Mus musculus: one gene and its partner. The protein of the gene in region 2 binds, or shares a complex with, the protein of the main gene of each other region. Links are inferred from orthologs where the notes say so. Each region holds a gene or a part of one and is shown on either strand. Other genes may lie near its edges.

The links. Proteins that work in one complex are often made in the same cells at the same time.
Region 1: the proteins of Pcna (region 2) and Zranb3 are in contact, whole or in part, in a crystal structure (PDB 5YD8), measured with the Homo sapiens proteins. The link is inferred for Mus musculus from reciprocal best matches to the Homo sapiens genes PCNA and ZRANB3. Residues at the interface, in NP_002583.1 of Homo sapiens: Met40, His44, Val45, Ser46, Leu47, Gln125, Leu126, Gly127, Ile128, Pro129, Asp232, Val233, Pro234, Tyr250, Leu251, Ala252, Pro253; in NP_115519.2 of Homo sapiens: Asp1071, Ile1072, Thr1073, Phe1075, Leu1076, Val1077.

The regions. Positions count from the first base shown.
Region 1 is NC_000067.6:128,097,090-128,107,807, reverse strand, and holds the start of Zranb3 (DNA annealing helicase and endonuclease ZRANB3), read left to right. Parts: upstream 1-5,336; 5' UTR 5,337-5,555; exon of another isoform or gene 5,556-6,033; intron 6,034-10,718. UniProt on the Homo sapiens protein: DNA annealing helicase and endonuclease required to maintain genome stability at stalled or collapsed replication forks by facilitating fork restart and limiting inappropriate recombination that could occur during template switching events.
Region 2 is NC_000068.7:132,247,182-132,257,555, forward strand, and holds Pcna (proliferating cell nuclear antigen), read right to left. Parts: upstream 6,000-10,374; 5' UTR 5,856-5,999; coding exon 5,635-5,855; intron 4,820-5,634; coding exon 4,722-4,819; intron 4,578-4,721; coding exon 4,510-4,577; intron 4,258-4,509; coding exon 4,063-4,257; intron 2,717-4,062; coding exon 2,593-2,716; intron 2,515-2,592; coding exon 2,435-2,514; 3' UTR 2,105-2,434; downstream 1-2,104. UniProt on the Homo sapiens protein: Auxiliary protein of DNA polymerase delta and epsilon, is involved in the control of eukaryotic DNA replication by increasing the polymerase's processibility during elongation of the leading strand.

The DNA of each region.
Region 1 (10,718 bases), on a different chromosome or scaffold from region 2:
CTAGTATTTACAGAATAAGAGGCTCAAAAATGCTTTCCTGAGAAGTGAGTTTACAGGTAAAAATTAAGAAGAGTCACAAGGGCTGGAAAGACAGCTGAGGCGCTAAGAGCACTGAGTGCTCTTTTAGAGAACCCATCTTCAATTCCCAGCAGCCACATGGCAGTTCACAACAGTGTATAACATCAGTTCCAGAAGATCCTATACAGTTTTTCTGACCTGAGGGCACCAGACATACAAGAGGTGCAGAGACATACATGCAGGCAAAACATCCATATACATAATAAGAAATAACTTTTAAAAAGGTATAAACTGCCAAGCATGGTGCACGTGTTTTTAAACCTAGCACTCAGGAGGCAGAGGCAAGTGGATCTCTAAAGTGTGAGGCCCAGTTTGGTCTACAAAGAGAGTTCCAGGACAGCAAGGGCTACACAGAGAAACTGCCATGAAACATCCTCCTTCCACTCCCCGAAAAGGTACAAACCTACCAACTGACAAAGCAAAGAGCAATAGAACTCTAAAGGAAACTGTTTACCTTAATGTATGTGTGAACACTAAGAATGGGTGGGCAGCACAACAGTAAAGAACAAAACCTGGAAATAAAACAAACTGCAGGGAAATTCAGGCAGAGAACTAGCTTTGAGCCATGATTTAGAACTTATTTCACTTGTCCATCACTGACTTATTAAACTGCATTGTGGAGATTATATATATTCATATGTAAGTTAACACCAGATATAAGCAAGTTGTTTTACTTAATTTAGCCAGGCCCTTATATAAGGATCCAAGTTAATTTGATAGAAATTTTATTATGTTATTTGGTGCATGATGCATGTTTGTATTACTAATAAAAGTTTATAGTGAGCTCAAAGGATTAAGTGCCAGGCAATGTAATCTTTTTTTTTTTTTTAACATTTAGTATTATATGGGAAAAAACTAATACATTTCCTTTTCTATCACCTGCCAATTTAGTTACCTAAAACCATAAATAAATTATTCTTCCTATAGGCAAGAATGGGAAATGGAGGGCTGGTTCTGTGGTTTGCAACAAGAGCAATCCGAAATTTTCATTTCCACTTGGAAACACATCCACCTCTATGACATGTGAGTGCTGGACATTTTTACAACAGGTCATGGGAAGGGTTAATTGGGAAGTTTTCTACTTCAAGTAGGAACAGAATATTATAGTTTCATTAGTCTTTAGCATACACAACTCTTACTACACTTCCTTGTTTATAAGAATTGCAGCTTAATAGTAACCCAAATGGTTATAACTGGATATTTAAAACGTCAGTTCAAACAAAAACCTCTTTAATTACTGGGTAAGTCCCTTTAGAGAAGCACCCAAGTACACAGAGCTCAATAACTCAGTGGCATGTGACCATGTAGATGCTGTCAATCTTGGATAGTACCAGCAACACTTCATAACACAACTGTTGGCATGCTAATCGAAACCTGGCTCGGCTGCACCAACTCCAAGGACACCTTTATGTGTGAAAACTATACTTTCAAATATACTTGGGAACAGGGAGGAATATGGTATTTCAAAGAAAAAAAAATACCCAAGGACTGCTAAACAATGGAGTAGGAACTAAAGAGCAAGGATTTAACTCAATGTTGGAATACTTGCTGGCATGTATGAGGTGAAAGGTTCAATCCCTAGCATTGAGGAAAAAAAAATAGCAAAAATAAAACCAACAAACCTCAAGAGCACAAAGCAACAGTCTGGTAAGATAACTTTCTCAGTCTTAACTTTGTATCAGTCACTTGGTTTCTCTGGTAACAGAATGAGTCCAAAAGCAACTGTAAACTAGACCTTGAAACATATTAACAAAGTAAAGCAGGACAACAACCCTAGTTTACTACTAAAACACTAAAACACAAAGCACATTTTTATTATGGGTAATCTATTTGAAATATGTTCCAAACGCAGAAATTTTAAACAAAAGGAAAAAAGATACTGTGTATGACAAAATTCTCTTTGATACCCAATGACCAATTTCATATATTCTGTCTGCTTAAAAAAAAAATGGCTAAAGGCTAGCAAGATGGTTTAGTGCATAAAGGCACTTGGCCTTCAAATCAGACCACCTGAGTTCAATCCCAGAGACCAATAGGATAGAAGAAGAACTGATTTCTCCTAACCTTACCACTGTCCTCCACCCTCCTAAAATGTATCATGGTACTTCTGTGCTGCGCCCCGTACCCCAGTAAATGTAATAAAACAAAAACAAAAAAATTGGCTATGAGATATTGTTTTAAGCCACTGTGTACATTAACACTCAACAGTAGAAGAGATTTTTGAGACTGCAACAATACTCTGCATATGAACAGCAAATTCATTCTCTAAATATGAAAATGAGAAAACAAAGATAAAAACTTAATGTAACAAATATATACATGTGAGACACAATCCTAGTAGCTTTACATAGTCTATTTACAGCTCCATAGATTAAGCATTATCCTCCCCATTATTAACCGAGGTTAGGTTAGATTAGCCTCATAAAATGGTCCCACAAATAGTAAAAGAATGTAGTCCCCTGTATTTTCATCAGACCTTCCATACAAAGAATTCATGAGACCTAAATATATCACTGCATAAATTGCCAACTAATTATCAAGTTTGGGGAACTATGCTAGGGAATGTATGCTATGGGGACTCAATGGAGAAGCTGAGGGAACTAATCTTCAAAAGCTATGTACTACATTAAAAAAATCAGTAACACATAACCAGATTCCTTCTTAATCCAAGTGAATGGATCTATTTTACTTCTGTATCTACTTGCATTATTTTGAGAACATGGCAGATTCCTAAGGTACTTCTGTGACCCAGAAGAAATAGTCTATTAGTCAAAGCATAGGTTGTTTATTCAGAACCAGTGTTCTCTCTAAAACAAATAAATCTTAGAAATGGGGTGGTCTGTAGCCATGCCTATTATAGATTACAGGGTCCACTAAAGTCATATTCTCCTAGGCTGAAAAAGCAGAGTGGAATTTGAAAAGATGGGCACACTATCAAAATCTGATACAATTATAAGACAATCCCCTAAAATATAAAGACATAAAATCTGAAGAGAATGATATTTCTTCAGTTAAATGGGTAGCTACATGAACTCTACTGATTCAAGTATTATAAGGAAGGGGCTTCGAGGTTGATTTCATCTTTTTATGACTCGATGCTCTTGGAATCAATGACATTTAAATTTAAGAGGTTTCTTTAGCTGGGCGATGGGGGGCCACACCTTTGATCCCAGCTCTTGGGAGGCAGAGACAGGTGGATTCTGTGAGCTCAAGGCCAGCCTGGTCTACATTGTGAGTACCAGGACAGCCAGGGCTACACAGAGAGACCCTGTCCAGGGAAAAAATCTAAAATAAAGGGGAGTATGGTATGAGATTCTTTAACGTGACCCAGCCAAACTATAACCTTAGGAGTGGGATATGTGTGTTTGTGTGTATTCATTCATGCTAGAAATTCTATTTTTACCTCTTCAGAAATGCACCTTATTATTTAGTAAGCAGCACTGCTTTGGAAGATACCTCTTCACCTCTAACTAGTTTAGGGGACTTGCTCTCTCAGGACCCAATTCACAGAAGTCACAACAGCCAAACCCAATTTTGTTTCTCCTTAAAAGCAACTTCAGACAACAGTGACAATCTCTGGTACATAACCACAAGAAGAAAAAAAAAAAAACTTCTAATATACAGGGATGGAAAGGGGGGAGGGGGATTTACATCATAACGTCCCCCGTAGGTTCGTCCATCAACGACCAAGGCTCTGACAGTCATTCAACTTTCTTGCTAATTTCCCCACTGTGTTTTTTCTAGCAGTACGGGCAGTACGGGCACGACGTGCTGTTTCCCTTTTGGTGTGTGTGACAATTCCCCGGAGCGGGGGTATCAGCCCCGGGCATCTGGTCCAGGCCCCGGAGAACAGTTCCGCGAACGGTCCCTGCTCCAGCCTGGCCTGACTATGTTGCTTTTCCCCTCCGTCCTCCCCGGATCTCCAGGGCTCGCAAGAGCAGCAGCTGCAGCAGGGACGCTCGGGAACCTGTCCCCAGCTCCCCCGCTAGGCCTCAAGGGGTTGGCGCTGCACATGGCCCCCAGCGAAGCGGCGGGCACCGCGCGGTGGAGGCGACTAGAGGGCTCGCCTCAGAACCCGACGGCCCCTGGCGGGCCGGAGGAGAGGGGAGGGACGCCGTCTCCTCAGCGCTTAGCTCCCCGGCTGCCTCACTCTCCCGCTCCGTTAGCGCTACCGGTTGGCGGGCGGGGGAGGGGAGCGAGCGCGTTATTCCCGGGGCGCCGCGGGGGAGGGGACAGCATCTCTTACCCGCGTTACTGAGAAGGAGCAGGAGGAGGTGGCGGGAGCGCGGCACAGCGGGGCGACGGCGGGGCCGGCTGGTTGCAAGGTAGAGTCTCACGGAAGGGAATTAACCCCATCACCAGCCCGGACACCGGCTCCAGCGGCAGCCGCGGCGGCAGAATCCCGCCCCTTCCCACCACGCACTGGCCCCGCCTCTCCGTCGCGTTGACGGAAAGCAGCCTACCTCATACGCTAGGTCAACATTAAGTGACATACAAATTATCCAATCAGCGTTTGAAAACCACTTTCGCTCCACCCCCATTATCACTGCGGGACAGCGGGAGAACGGGACTAAGTCTATCTCCACCCACAAAAGAAAAAGAACCAATCCCGGGCAAGTTGTCGTCCCTGAACGACGTAAGAGTCAACCAATGATAAAGCTAGGAGGACAGCCATTTTGCCCACTTGTGAAAGAGCCACCTTTCCCACGAGTAGAATCCTGAGGTGGGCGAGTTCCGGGCGATTTTAATCACTGGAGATGTGGTAGACAACTCTCTTTCTTCAGGGAATGATTATAGAGCTTTTTAAGGATGAAAGGACAATTTTGTCGTTCATGTGGGAAGATGAGAGGAAGGCTTTAAGGATGTGGCTCCGCCCCTTAGCGGTAACGGGTTCCAGGCTGAACACCTGGTTCCTCCAGTCTTAGTGGTGGAGGCAGGGCTTCTGAGCACTTTGGCTCCTGCGACTACAGTTCCCAAGATGCTTTGAGACCCTGTTTTCCTCATTTTGCTTCCGGTAGTGTTTCATGGGAATTGTAGTTCTTGAGAGGTTACGGTGTAACCTCCTTGTCTAGATGAGTAAGAGGAAATTTTTGAATAATTTGGAGTTGAGAATGAAGTCGCAAGGTTCTAGTCAGGTCTTTTCGCATCGCTAAAGGAAGGAGAATATAACAGGGTTGGGAATTTTCTCAACACATTACAATGTTTTAGAGTGCTGGTATTTGAACTCTTCCAAGTCTAGGTCATCCGTTTAACGTCACTTCCGCTTAGTTGAAGACGCTTGCAAAAAGTTTGGCGGGAGTTGAAGATTATGAAGCTAGTGCTGCATTTTGGCGGACTGTATAGGGCAAGAGATGGGAAATTGACTGCACTTTAATTGCGCTATAAGAAAATAGTGGGTAACAGTCGGGCGTGGTGGCTGATGCCTGTAACAGCTGGAAGCTGAAAGGTCGCCGCGAGTTCATAGCCTGGGCTACAGAGTGAGTTTTAAAACAGCTGGGACTACAGAATTCACCTTGTCTAAAATAACCCCCCCCCCCGCACTGCCCCCTCCCCCTAAAAAAACCCATCCAGAAATATGAAATGGCATGGGTGTAATTCTCGAGCCTGTAATGTAATTTTCTACTTTGCTACTTAGTCTTGCAGAGCCAGTGTTTATCAGATCTGTTCACTCTTGAGTTTGTAGAGGATGCTTTAATTTGCCTTTAGCTACTGTCTGTGAAGCAGCATAGGTTCATGTCCTGGAAGGTATTGGAAATTCTGAACTAATTCCTCCCATTTATACAAATAGTCCCCAGAAGTCAGAAGTTGCCTTTGAACAGGATCTTAAAAAAAAAAAAGTCTCCTCCATCATTTTTATGGAGACTTTGTCTTACTACTTTTCTCATAAATATTTATTGAGCACTTACACTAGTGGTAAATATACTAGGCTTAAAGGATTGAAGAGTGCACAGAAAGGTAAGTTTTGTTTAAAACGAGTTAGAAAGATTAAGCAAAATTTATGTTACTTGGTCTTTTTAATATCTCCAAATTTAGCATCTTCATAGTTATGTTTTGTGTGTTGATTTGGTTTCCTCTTTGCTTTCTACTTTTAGATTTAAAAACCATTCCTTTCTATTTTCATTATTTTTATTGAAGTATTAAGTCTGTGTCCAGAACTGTTAAGAGGTGTTTTATATACTATGTGGATGAGAGTCCTAACTAGTGCAATCCCAGAGACAGAAATATATCTGCAACTTCCAAGCAGACAAAACACTCTTACTTTTTTAAAGAAAATAAATGTTTTTGCTTTTCAATATAATACTTTCACGTGTGTGTGTGCAAGTGTGTGTGTGTGCTATATGAATATTAAACAGAAGGCATCATCCCCATCTAGGAGTTAGAGTTTCAAGTGATAACTTAGCATTGTCCATAAATGCTTAGTTGGGATTTTTTTCATAAGTCCTTCCAGAGTAGAAGTCAATATGTAGTAATAATGACAATCATATTACTGAATATTTAATCTGAGCCCCAAAAGGGCTAAGGGTGTTTAGTATGTCTTTTATTTTTTTGAGTGCTGGAGACAAACCGAGAGCCTTGCATTTGCTGGATAATGTGCTTTGTCACTGTGTTCCAGCCTCACTTTCAACTCTAAACCATTGCTTCTCAAATGTTTAGGAATCTCAAAAAGTTCAGCCTTCCCCTGCCACCGGGATGCTGGGATTAAAGGCTGTCACCACCATGCCTAGCAAAAAGGTGTTACTTTTTGTTCTGTTTTGTTTTTTTCTTAAAGGTTTATTTATTTTATGTGTCTGAGTGCGTGCATGTATGTGCACCATGTACATGCCTATAAGAAGTCATTGGATCTCCTGAAACAGAAGTTCCAAATGGTTGTGAGCCACCTTCTAGGTGCTACAAATCTAACCTGAGTCCTCCGCAAAAGCAGCAAGTGAACCACTGGCCCATTATTCTTGGCCCTCTGCAGAATGACCTGTTAGGTTTTTTTACAGTCCAGTCTTTATCCCCATCCTGTTCCGCCCCCTGACTGTTCCTCATCCTATAGTTCCCTCCACCCCCAATCTCCAAGAGGATGCCCCCACCCCACCAGACCTCCCTACTCCCTGGGGCCTCCAGTCTCTTGAGGGTTAGATGCATCTTCTCTCACTTAGTCCAGACCCTGCAGTCCTCTGCTGTGGATGTGTTGGGAATCCTCATATCAGCTGGTGCATGCTGCCTGGTTGGTGGCCCATTGTCTGAGAGATCTCGGGAGTCCAGGTTACTTGAGACTGCTGTTCCTCCAACAGGGTTGCCCTCCTCCTCAGCTCCTTCCAGCTTTTCCCTAATTCAACCACAGGGTCAGCAGCCTCTGTTCATTGGTTGGGTGGAAGTATCTGCATCTGACTCAGCTGCTTGTTGGGTCTTCGGAGGGCAGTCATGATCTGTCCCTTTTTGTGAGAACTCCATAGCCTCAGTAATGTGTCAGGTCTTGGGGCCTCCCCTTGAGCTGGATCCCACTTTAGGCCTGTAGCTGGACCTCTTTTTCCTCAGGCTGTTCTCCATTTTAGTCCAGGCAGTTTTTTCCAGATAGGAACAATTATGGGTCAGAGTATTTGACTGTGGGATGGCAACCCCATGCTTCCACTGGAGGTGGATTCTACAAGTTCCTCTCCCCACTGTAGGGCATTTCATCCAAGGTCCCTCCCTTTGAGTCCTGAGAGAGTCTCACCTCCTGGATCTCTGGTACATTCTAGAGGGTCCCCCTACCTCCAACTCCCAAGATTGCCTGTTTTGATTCTTTCTGCTGGCCCTCAGTCCTGTTCCTCCCCCACCTCCCAATTGTTCCCCTTTACAGAATGACCTGTAGTTGTGTGGATTGTATCCTGGGTACAGAGTGACCTGTTAGGATGGCATGCTACTGCTTTATTTAAAGCACAGTGGGTTAATTATGACAATATTACTGTCATTGTTTATGATGCCTGTATTCCATGATGTAGCTCAAATATAACCTATTTCTTGCTAATGGTTATTTACAGTTGCCAATCAGTAATATTTTTTTGTTACTGTAATGAAAGTATATAACAAAATCTACCATTTTAAGCATTAAGTGTGGACTTTACAGTGCATTAACCTTTTATACCTTGGTGTACAATACAGCTGTGAAAGGTCTTTCTTACATAGCAAAAAATTCTGTTTTCACTCTGCCTGACTCCTTGCAAGCACCATTCTGCTTTCTGTTTCCAAGAGCTTATCTTCTATCTCATGTAAAGGAACAGACTCCTGCAGCGTTTGACATTTTATAACTAGCTTATTTAACTTAATATCTCCAGAGTTCATTCATGTAGGCTGTGCAAGGATTTCCTTCTCAATGCTGAGTCCCTGGCACTTAAGTATCACATTTTATAAATGAATTCATCTGTTGGCAGGCATTTAGTTTGCTTTCCCTTCCTGGCTTTTGTGGCTAGTGCTGCAGGAGTACAGGAGGGCAGATCCTTTGTTTCTGAGTGTGTACAGACCCTGTGGACCGGAGTTTACCCTGGGGCAGTCAGTTCTCTTCTATCAGGTGGGACTGGAGAGCAGACTCAGGTCACTGGCCTTGGCTGCGGGAGCTTTTACCCTCTGACTTGTCGGCTACTTTTAGGTTCATCCGAAGAGTCTCTATGACTCCTAGATTATTCTCCAGGAGGAATATTTCCACGTTCTTTACAATAGCACTGTATGAGAGAACCCGTTTCCTGTGTGCGTGGTGTGCAGCTGTACTCCCTTGTGTGGGTGCATGTGGAAACCAGAATTTCACGTTGGGGTGTCTTCTTCCTTCTCTTCCCCACTATACTTTTTTGGTTTTTTTGAGACAGGGTTTCTCTGTGTAGCTCTGGCTGTCCTGGAACTCACTTTGGAGACCAGGCTGGCCTTGAACTCAGAAATCCGCCTGCCTCTGCCTCCAGAGTGCTGGGATTAAAGGCGTGGGCCACCACGCCGGGCCCACTATACTTTTTAAGACAGACTTTCACTGAACGGGAAGCTTCCCAATCAGTTAGACTGGCTAGCTTGGGAGCTGCCAGGACCCTATTGTCTTTGACCTCCCCACCCCAGTGCTTGGGTTACAGTTTAATTTTGTATGGGTTCTATGGAGGTCAGAATTCAGGTTCTCAGACTTGGATAACAAACACTTTACCCACTGAGCCTTGTCTTCAGCCACCTCCTTCCTCTTTCCTATCTCTTTACTCTATCCAGTCTGATTGTAAAGTGATGACTCATTACTTTGTATCTATATGTACCCCACCTGGCTGAAAATGTTTTATATGTATATTGCCCATTGATGTCTTGTAGCTTGTTGCTGTCTTAGCATCATAATATTTTTAAAGAAATACTTCAAACCCAGCATGGTTGTGTACGCCTTTAATTCCCAGCACTTGGGAGGCAGAGGCAAAAGGATCTCTCTGAGTTTGAGGCTAGCCTGCTCTACAGAACAAGTTCCAGTACAGCCAGGGCTACATAAAGAAACCCTGCCTCAAAAAAAACTGAAGGGAAAAAAGACAGACAGACTTCAATTTTTTCAGTTTGTCATATATTTTGGGAATCTTTACTCACATTTAAAATTTTATTTTTTAACTTTTTTTCCAAGAAATGAATTTGTAGTACTTTAGTGTTTAAATCTAAGTCTTTTCTTTTTTGTAGTATCTATCTGTGATGTCAAAAGTAGTTTCCCACTCTAGTATTCAAAAGCAAAATACCATATATTTTTTTTCATATTTAATAGTCACCTGTATTATTCTTTGGTATAAAGAAAAAAAATGGGATTATTTTGTAAATGCTAGGGATTTAACACCAGGATTCCTGCATTCTATCACTGAACTAGCTTTTGGTCTTGTTTTGTTTTTGTTTTTATATGAGCCTCAAGTTGCTCAGGATAGCCTTGAACTCCCTAGGTAGCTGAGGCTGACCTTGAACTCCTAATCCTTCTCTTCTGCCTCCTGAGTACTGGGATTACAGGCACTGGCTAGGCACTCCTTAAATATTATCAGATGACGAATCTGGAAGCAATGTTGTAGAATGGAAAAGTTCAGACTATCACACCAGAGTCCTAGACTAGGTGTCATCACAGTTCTGAGACTTGTGTAAATTATTTATTAGCTCATTATCCCAACTTTAACATGCAGATTGAATGAAAAAAGAAAGAAAGAAAGAAGTTAAAAGAAAAGGAACATGACTAGCCTAGGTATATTGGAGGAGAAAGATTATTATTGATAATAGGGCAGAGGCAGGGACATCTAGGAGAGTCCAGAGTAGGTATGATCTGGCTGAGCTGGGCCATGTGGAGAGAGGGGAACCAGGTGCAGTAGCCAAGAGGGCAAAGGTGCAAAAGAGGCTGGTAACCAAAATGGCTGGATTATATAAGGAAGAACTTCTGGGAAAGGGCAGCCCAGCCCCTGGTCTGGAGAGTTCGGGTAGAGGGTAGGGTGTGCCAGCCATATCCCGTACTATGTAGGGACTGAGGGATGCTGGGAGAACTTGGGTGCCAGGTCCATTTTGATATGTTAAGTAGTTACCTCATTTGTCCAGGGTTTGAAACTTAACACAGATAACAATATTTTGTGGCCCAGCAAGATAGCATAATGGATAAAGGCACCTGCTTGCTGGCAAGGATGAAGACCTGGCCTTAGTCC
Region 2 (10,374 bases):
GTTCAGAAGTACTAAAAAGGAGCAACGGGAATCCATTTACATTTCTAAACCTTAGGTACTAGGTTTTTGATGTTGCCATCCCATAACATGTTTAATTCCTCATATCTAAAAGTTGAAGCTACCAATAAGCAGGATTTTCGAAGCATTAAACCATGCCTGATTTGTATTACAAGTTATAAAGTTATGTACTTTCCACTTATAAACTCGCACCAAAACAAAAACGTTGCAGCACGACAACGAAATGGGAAGATTTGTTTTTCTTAGCAAGGGATTCTAGAGTGGCGTTATCACATAGTAAATGACAACTTAAAAAACTATCAGCCCAAGTTTCTGCTACACTTTTTACCGGCCCCACCACGATTTCTGCCCACCCTCCCGGGCCCACAAGGACCTAAGCGTGGCGCTGTGGACAACCTCTCGTCGCCCTCCGCCGCCGCCAACGTGAACTAACTGTCTCCGGGAAGCAGCCTCGGTGGCAGGGCCAGGTCTCGCGGCTGGCTTCCGGGAGCGCGCGCCCGCCCCCTACCCGCGCTGCGCTCCCCGTTCTCCGTTAGGCGCGCTCGCAAGGCTCGCTCAACAGCCAAGCGGAAGGGGCGGTCTTAAGGACAGCCCAGCGGAAGTGACGTGGCGGATAGAGGCGCACCGGAAGTGCTGTCACCAGGAAATCGTGTCATCGAATCTTGCTTCCAGGGCACATGGCTGGAGGGCTTCATTGCTGTCTTGTTTTATGTTTGGTAGCGTTTCTTTACGTAGCGCAGGCTGTCCTGGAACTCAGGATGCTGATTAGGCTGGCCTCGAACATAAGGTTTGCCTGGGACAAATGGCGAATGCCACCATGCTCAACCGGGTAGCGGCTTGCTTTTGCCCTGGTGACCAGGACCTGCTACCTCCATAGGGTGGGCGGGCGCGTACTTAGGGTCTCACCCACCAGGATCGAGTTCACAGCAAAACTGTTGAGGTTCCAGTCCTGACCCCATGGCCACATCGGTGCACAGCAGAGTCCTGGGTATCCAGAGGGGTGGACAAGGGATACCCACCAGGAATCTTGCCCTGTCCTAAACACCCCTATGCTGACACTGGTCACCACTCACTAATTAGCGTTCTCACAGCCCCAAAATCTTGTTATTACTACCTGATTATTAAACACTACCCAGGTAAGTGTCCTACCTACCAGACACAGCTGAGTTCTAACATTCATCCTCATGAAAGTGACGTCTTGATAAAGCATTCCCACCACTCCAGAGTTCTCTGAGAGCAGTATTTGCAGGCTACTTCCTTCTGCACTTAATTGGCTCAAAGTATTGAACAGTTGTAGCTACTAGGCATGAGCTCTAACCAACAACCTCCCAGAACAAAGCTGTATTGTCTACATACTGTCAAACATGAAATACAAAGGAAAAATATCTTGGGGTCCACAGATAGAGCTTAGTATTTAAAGGCCTTCAAATGTGGCCTCCCGGAACAGAGCAAACAGGCTCTATACTAGCCATGGTTTGAGATCCTGCTGAAATATAGCAAGAACTGAAAATGGTTCCCCACACCAAACCAGGTTAACACACGCATGCTCACTCATACCTGCAAAAGACACACACACATAAAAACTGAGAGGGGAGGTAGGATAATTTGTCACCAAGCTTGAAGAACTTCATTCAACCCCTGGAAGCCAGGGTGCTGGGGTATACCAATTCCTATAAAATTGTCCTGACCCCCACATGAGCCTCACACATACACAATAAATATACTCAAATATTCTTTAGTTTTATGTAGCATATCATGATCAAAACCACAGGGCCTTTTTAACCCTTCTTGGATCAAGTAGCCACGAAGTTTGGGCCTTTGCTTCACTCAAGATGGACTGTATGTAGTCCTGGTTGGCCTAGGGAGAGATTTATCCACCCCACCCCCTGCACTGCCATTAAAGTTGTATTTTAAAAGAGCTACATCCCAAACAAGGCTACCAGAAAACTTTGCACAACGTAATTACATAAACTCAAGAGAAACATTTTTTTATTGCTATCTCCACGATGGAAGAGAGAACAAAAGCCCATTTACCTAACAGGGTATAACTATTCAGTAGCCATGGTACAAAGGCGGCACTGCTCTATGACTTTTCAAATTGTTAACTTTATTTAAATTGAACAATATTTCTTAAAACTGCATTTAGCGTCAAGATCATTGATGAAAATCACCAGTATTTGTAAAGCAGAAACATTCATGTTAACAAAACTAGTTTTTACTTTGGAGCTTATTCTTTAAGCAAATTATGGAGAATGGAGAGAAAAGAAAGTAGGTTATTTACAGAAGATATCTACATATTTTATTTTAATATTTAAGAATACTCAGGTACAAACTTGGTGACAGAAAAGACCTCAGGACACGCTGGCATCTCAGGAGCAATCTTCAAAGGTTTAGTTTTCTCAATTTCTAGCAATGCCTAAGATGCTTCCTCATCTTCAATCTTGGGAGCCAAATAATACTTTAAGTGTCCCATGTCAGCAATTTTATACTCTACAACTGAAAGACAGGAAAAATTAAACCACCGAATACTATAAATACCACATTACAAAACAATGTTCAAACTTATCATCTTACCAAGGGGCACATCTGCAGACATACTGAGTGTTACTGTAGGAGACAGTGGAGTGGCTTTTGTGAAAAAGTTCAGGTACCTCAGAGCAAACGTTAGGTGAACAGGCTCATTCATCTCTATGGTTACCTAGAGGAGAAAACAGGCTCACTGTAGACATCAGAAACTCACACTATTAGATCACGGTATTATACCACAAAGCAAAACAAATAGTTATCATTTTGGAAGGGTTGATGAAAACCTTGACTAAAGAAGAAAAAAGTCTAGCTTGCCCATCCTGTAGAGCCACACCCCAAGCAATCAAAACAAAGGAGAAAGTTGTTCCTATTCAGATTGTACATACTTCTCTTGCAAAGAATGCATGAAGAGAGGAAGATAACACATAACCACTTCCAAAAACAAGAACCAACAGCTGAATGCAAGCTAAGGGACAGTAAACCAGTCTTCATTGTATGATTATCAATTTTATTCAATTCCCAATCCTTGAACATGTGGATACTGAAAAATTCCTTAATTTCTTTTGTTGTGGAAATGCTTGCACATCAGACAAATACTGATGAATTACATGTCAGTATTTGAGAACTGAGGAGCTGAAGTTGATATGGAAGTAGAAATAATTCAGCAGATTAAGGTTAAGAACTAGTTCTTGGGTTGTGTGTTTATCTATGTTCGAATTCTTACACTTTCATTTACTTTAAATTCATGCAGAGGCCAAGTAACACCTTATATTTACCTTAAATACTTGCAGTAAGCACTCTGAATTTCACTATACTAAACCCTAAAAATCCTATTTAGTTCAGACTTCTGTGTGTAATTCTGATGCTCAGGCTAGCTAGCAAAACTTAAAAAAGAAAAAAAAAAGTGTAGCCATGAAATATACATTGGATTCCTGAGAAAAAGCCTCGATTCAGGGATACTTAGAAATTAAAGAGGCCTAGTATGTTCTACTTGAATGAGGAGGACTCGGAGAACATCTTCCTTTGCCTTCCCAATTTCTTCCTCATTCTTTTTGAGCTAGATTTTCTGCCAGGTTGACTTTAAGCTGAGAATCTTCCTGCTGTAGCTTTGAGTACTACAGTTGTGGGTTTGAGACATCATGCCCAGCTTTCTCTATGGATGTAACTGTCAAGAGCATTTAATACAACTCTTTCCACATTTTGTGAAGTCTTTCTTATTTCCCTTGGGACTGCAAATACTCTTGAACCTGCAACACATAAAGCTACATACACCCCCAACCATTTTCTTTTGCTCACTTGCCAACCCTCACTTATTTGCCAAGAGTATTTCCAGGAAGCAAAAGGCTGTACACTTAGCTTTCCAAATGCTACCTGTAAAAGCTTATGGAGTCGTCTCTGAGCTCTAAGATAGCTTGGTCTACTCAAGACTCCATCTCAAAATGAATGAATAAATAAAAACAAAAGCCGAGGCTCCATCCCTGCTTCAGACACCTAACTGGACGCCCCCTTACTACTCACCGCCTCCTCTTCTTTATCCACATTACTTGTTTGTGACAACTTAATGTTCCCATTGCCAAGCTCTCCACTTGCAGAAAACTTCACCCCATTCTTTGCACAGGATATCACAACAGCATCTCCAATGTGGCTAAGGTCTCGGCATATACGTGCAAATTCACCCGACGGCATCTTTATTACACAGCTGTACTCCTGTTCCTGTAAACCCACAAGTTAAAGGTCAGTCTAGAAAAGGGGGAAGGCTCAGCTTCATGTTCTCAAGATTTAGCATCTTAACCAGAACTCAGAATGCAAGACTTCTGGTTTCTTTAAAACTCAATCAACTTTAGACTGCTGTGGTTTAGTGAAATGGCAGTGTGCCATTCATCCCCAATACCACCACTCCACTCAGAACACGCATCAGCTGGTATCACAGCAGGGTAACACACAATCAGAAACAAGGTAACTCACTGGGATTCCAAGTTGCTCCACATCTAAGTCCATTAACTTCATTTCATAGTCTGAAACTTTCTCTTGATCTACCAAAAGAAGGAAAATGTTACCAAAGCACACCACACGGTCCTATCTATGATGGAAATTTTACAATATTGTTAATATTTTTTTTTGGTTTTGAGAAACAGAAACAACACGTAACTACCGAGTTTTAAAGGTGTTTAACTTACTTGGTGCTTCGAATACTAGTGCTAAGGTGTCTGCATTATCTTCAGCCCTTAATGTAATGATGTCTTCATTACCAGCACATTTTAGAATTTTGGACATGCTAGGGGGGAAAAAAAAAAAGACAGGCTTTATCAACATGTAATCCACATCTATATTTTAAAAAGCAATTACAAGTTGTACCATTTCACACTCACGGTTGGAGAACTGTTAAAGGGGCTAAGGGTACCCCAAACTCTCTCAGGGGTGAAGCAAATTACCGGGTATATGTGATTCTTAAAACCGACTTAGTAAAATGCACTAAAAGCCAACATTCGAGAAAGCATCTTTTTGAGCGGGGTGTCCTTGGTTTCTAGTGTACTGGAGAATGTGCCCCATCACGTCTGGCCTTTTCGTAAATCTTTCAAAATGTATACAAGTGGCACTAATCCATGTATCTGTACTAAAATAAGTCACACACTGTCCTTGAACACGTATACAGGAGGCACTAACCTAGGTAGCTGTAGCAAAGTTAAAAGCTAAAACTGACAGATTTCCCCTCAAATCCATGATGCGCAGTGAGACTCTGGAAGTCAAGAAAAGGTCTATTGTCACTCTAAGTCGACATTACATTTGCACTAAGACTCGTTTATTAGGCGCTAAGACCAGCCACTCAAAGCTGCAGGCATTTAATGAGCACAGCTCCGGAGCACTCATTTTCCCGCGGACTCCCGCTTTGTGGCTTTGGCGCGGAAACAGAGTGGGCGCCACTGCCAGCGCGGGCTTTTCGGAACCGCGCGCTTTGGTGAGGGCTGCCCCCGACACCATAGACCAATCAGAAAGCGCGGATGGCCAAGCCAGCCAATGAGCGTGCAGAGTCACAGCCCCGCCAAGAGCGGAAGCGGGAAGAGTGGGGCCCCGCTCCCGCCACCCGCTCACCTGGTGAGGTTCACGCCCATGGCTAGGTTGCGGTCGCAGCGGTATGTGTCGAAGCCTTCGGAGCGCAGAGTAAGCTGTACCAAGGAGACGTGAGACGAGTCCATGCTCTGCAGGTTCACGCCGCCCGAGCTGACGTCCCAGCAGGCCTCATTGATGAGGTCTTTGAGAGCCTCCAGCACCTTCTTCAGGATGGAGCCCTGGATCAGGCGTGCCTCAAACATGGTGGCGGAGTTGTGGCGACTAGATGAGAGCTACTCTAAGAGGAACGAGGTCTGGCTGCCAAGGTCCCCCGATTCACGATGCAGAAGCGGCAGCGAAGGCCTACAGCGACAACTACCAACCCTCTGCGCCCGCAACCGTCTAATGCCGCGGCTTCCTAGGCGCGCGCCTTTTCCCTGCGCGAGGTCATGACGCCACAGCGCTGATCCACCCACCTCTCCTCAAGGACCAATCGTACCCGTGGTTTGAGCAAGGCCCGCCCCACCGCGTATGCAAAGGCGGGGCTGCGGGGTAGGAGCCTGGGAGGCGAGGGGCATCACGGGGTTCGCGTAGGCTGTCGTCACCGCCCAAGTTTGTGGGAGTTTAGGCTGCAGTTTCCATCCTTAGGAAGTTTCCGCGCCACGGAAGTGGAAGTCACAGGCAAATCGAGCTGTGCGCGGCGGCCTGCCTTGAAGCTGGAGAGTATTTTAAACACTACGGAGCGTTTTCCCTAACGTAAGAAATACGCTGCAAAATATCGAGTAATAAAGAGGCCACCATATTTTAACACCCCTACCCCCCCCCCCATTTCATATCACTTTTCTGTGTGCGTCGCTCTGAACTTTTCTCTCTAAAGACTAAAAAAATACCTCTTAACGTGAACGCTTCTCCAAAGAAGATACCAAGTCCATATGTATCACGTAATTATTTTCCTTTTATGTCTGGTTCTCTACATTTTTCTAAAGGTAGATATTACTAGTATTTTCATCTTAATTTTAGGCTGAAGATGAACCCGAGCCTGAGCCCCATCCTGAAAATGTTAGCTGTTGCAGGTGGAGCGTCTTTCATATGTCCCTGGGCTGCAGCATTTTGTTCTACTAAAGTTTTTTTGTTTTTTTGTTTTTCCTATTGATTATGAGGATGGGGAAGAACTGACTGCAGGTAGATTAACATCATTTACAAAAGGATATAGAGTTTTTCAATTTCTCATGTTTTTTTCTTTTGGTTTTGGTGGTAGGTAAAATATATTTGATAATGAAAGTGTAATACTTTAATGTGAAACTTGATAGTTTCCATTTGGAATGCCTCTTCTAACTGTATAGAAGTTGGTTGAGTTGTGAAGAAAGCTTTTGGTGTGTGATGTTTTATTTATGTGTGTAAGGGTTTTTTGTTTGTTTGCTTTTCACTAATAAGGTATATACAATTTCAGAAAGTTAAAAGGACCGTTTTAGCTGGTGAGAGTGATTAGTGATTATAATTCCAGCACATGGGAAGGCTGAGGTCGGAGGGCCTAGATTTAAACTCACCTTGGACTATCTACCAAGACTGACCAAAGGGGAAAAAGTTTACATAGGAGCATATTAATTCCATTTCATGTTCATTTATTCTTTCCTTATTCACTGCATTTCCCTTTAGTTTGTCTTGTTTGATTTTTCTTTTCCTGGCTTGGGGATTTAGCCAGAAAACTGTATAACTTATTGAGCTATAGCCTCAGCCTGTTAAGAGTCTCCATAATTTTTTGAGGCTTGCATCAAACTCACTCTGTTATCCATGCTGGCCTTGAACTCACAATTTGATGCCACAGTCTGGCATCAAGCTTAACTCTTTAGTTTCATTTAATATCTTGGTTTGTAGGATTTCTCAGCTTTTTTTTTCTTTTATTCTTTTCACCATATATCTAGGTATGCTGAGACACAAATGTATTAATCACTCTCACAGTATTGAAGATTCATTGATTCCATCAGGTCTAGAATACTCTCGACCACTCTGATGGCAAGTGTTCGGTTTCCCTACACTGTTCACTGCCCGGCGTGTGGATTTTACAGAACTTTAGATCTATTCAGTTGTTTTGTTTTGTTTTGTTTTGTTTGAGATAAGGGTCTCTCATGTTCCCTGGCTGTACTGGAGTTTGCTTGGTAGACCAGGCTGGCAAATTTGACTTTTTAAAATTGGTGTGTATGCATCCAGCCCAGCATTTATGTCAGCTTATAAGGTGCATCATTATTTTATGCAGCACAAACGAGGAAAACTGTCAAACTACCACACAGTGCTATATCACATACAATTTTGATACTATAATAGTTACAAATAAAAACAGTTATGGGCTGGAGACATGGCTCAGTGGTTAAGAGTACTTGCTGTTCTTCCAAAGGTCCCGAGTTCAATTCCCAGAACCTGCATGGCAGCTCACAGCTGTGTGATGCCATCCTCTGGTGTACATGCAGGAAAGGACCTGTATTTGTATAAATGCATAAATAAATAAATCTTTAAAATATTGAATACAATTTTTTTAAAATTAAAAACAAAACCCAGAAAACCCCACTACTATACTTTCAGCCCCCACCCCTTAATCATATATTACCCTTGTGGGTATCTTTTAAGAAAAACATGGGAGCCGGGCGTGGTGGCTCACGCCTTTAATCCCAGCACTTGGGAGGCAGAGGCAGGTGAATTTCTGAGTTCGAGGCCAGCCTGGTCTACAGAGTGAGTTCCAGGACAGCCAAGACTACACAGAGAAACTCTGAAACAAAAAACCAAAAAAAAAAAAAAAAAAAAAACCAAAAAAAAAAAAAGAAAGAAAAACATGGGAGCTAGGGTTACATAGTGATAGAGTGCTTGCCTGACCTGTACAACACATGATCTCCATCCTCACAGAAGACACGACAGAGAGGTGTTCACACTGTCTGTTTATAGTAGTGCTATCAGTTTCCCACTGAGCTGCTGCTGCTGCTGTTTTTAATGTATTACACTCTGCTTTGTTAAGGATGTCAATGCTCAAGAGTGCAAGTCTAGGGATAAAAGTCTAAAAATATTTTTTAAAAAGAGTACTATTCTGTTGCATCTGGAGTTTCATCCACTTGTGAATTTTAATGCTGGCATTTCTTGTTTTACATGTAATAAATTATTGTTTTATTAACATTTATTTATATGTGGTGCATGCATGCCTTAGCGCATGTGTGGAGGTCAGAGGAAAACACGTAAGAGTCAGCTCCGTTCTTTCACCCTGGATCCCAGGATAGAACTCAGGTTGCCAGGCTTAGTGGTAAGTTAAGTCCCTTTACCTGCTAAGCTGTCTTGACAGCCTGAATTATTCCTTCACACAGCAAGAGATAATGTAGGACTGGTCTTGCAGCTTAGTGTTACTGTGTGTCCAACAACACAGCACAAACAAAAATAAAAACCCATCATACAGCTACATATATTTGTGAGAATTTTCTTTTCTTGAGTTTCTTAAAATCTCATTTCCTTTGCAAACCATAGAATGTGTTCTTTCTGACTTGTGGTCTTGCTTTGCTAACAACACTAACAACACTATGTTTCTTCTGTTGCTCTGTCTCGGTGCTGGGGGCTTATATAATATTTTCTTTAATGCCTAGAAATGTAATTATTTTAGAGACTTTTTCTTAATGCTGGGAACTGATGTCAGGACTTCAGAAAAGCTAAACAGAAACCCGCCTTTGAGCTATGCCTCAGCCTCCTGGAGATATTTTATTTTATTATTATTATTATTATTATTATTATTATTATTTTAAAGATGTACTTATTATTATACATAAGTACACTGTAGCTGTACACCAGAAGAGGGCATCAGATCTCATTTTGGGTGGTTGTGAGCCACCATGTGGTTGTTAGGATTGGAACTCAGGACCACAGGGAGAGCAAGCAGTCAGTGCTCTTAACTGCTTAGCCATCTCACCAGCAGATAAATTCCATTGGCATGATGCCTGCTGTGCCTATGAATCTGTTGAAACAAGAACTTAAAACTAGCTATGTACTAGTTATAGAAAGACTGTCTAAGGAGGTAGCATTTTACCAGAGAAGCTAGCTGTTTTAGGAGTGGAAGAGACCATTGTAATGTAATAGAGAACAGAATGATTAATGGTGGACACTGGGGCTGGGATGTAGCTCACACACACAAGTCTCTGGGTTCCATCCTCAGAAACAGAAAGAGAGGAGGAGACTGATGAGCAGGTAAGAAAAGGCGTGCTTAGTGGCCTGTGGTAGGACTCAAAGGTTGATGTGGGGCTCAAGAGGTGGCTCAGCGGATAGGAGCACTGACTGCTCTTCCAGAGGTCCTGAGTTCAAATCCCAGCAACCACATGGTGGCTCACAACTACCTGAAATGGAAGACATTCACTTGCTTGCCTGCTCACCCCATCTCATTTTAAAACAAAATAAGAAATGCAAAATGGACTTGGAACTGAAGTATTTTTGGTTTTTCTTTTTCTTTTGTTTTCAAGATAGGATTTCTCTATGTGGCCCTGGCTGTCCTGGAACTCACTCTGTAGACTAGGCTGGCTTTGAACTCAAAGATCCATGTGCCTCTGCTTCTCAAGTGCAGGGACCAACATAGTCACTGAAATGGCCCCTCAGAACTGAAGTCTTTCAGGAGCCATCTTGGCTTTGGCCCATCAGTGAATACGTCTCTGTTCCACTCCTGGTGTGGGAGTACCTATTCCGGAGAGATTCCTGCAACAGCAATTCTGGTTTTAGGGAGGATGAGGGAAGAGGAGTTTGAGGTCATCCCTGGCTACACGACAA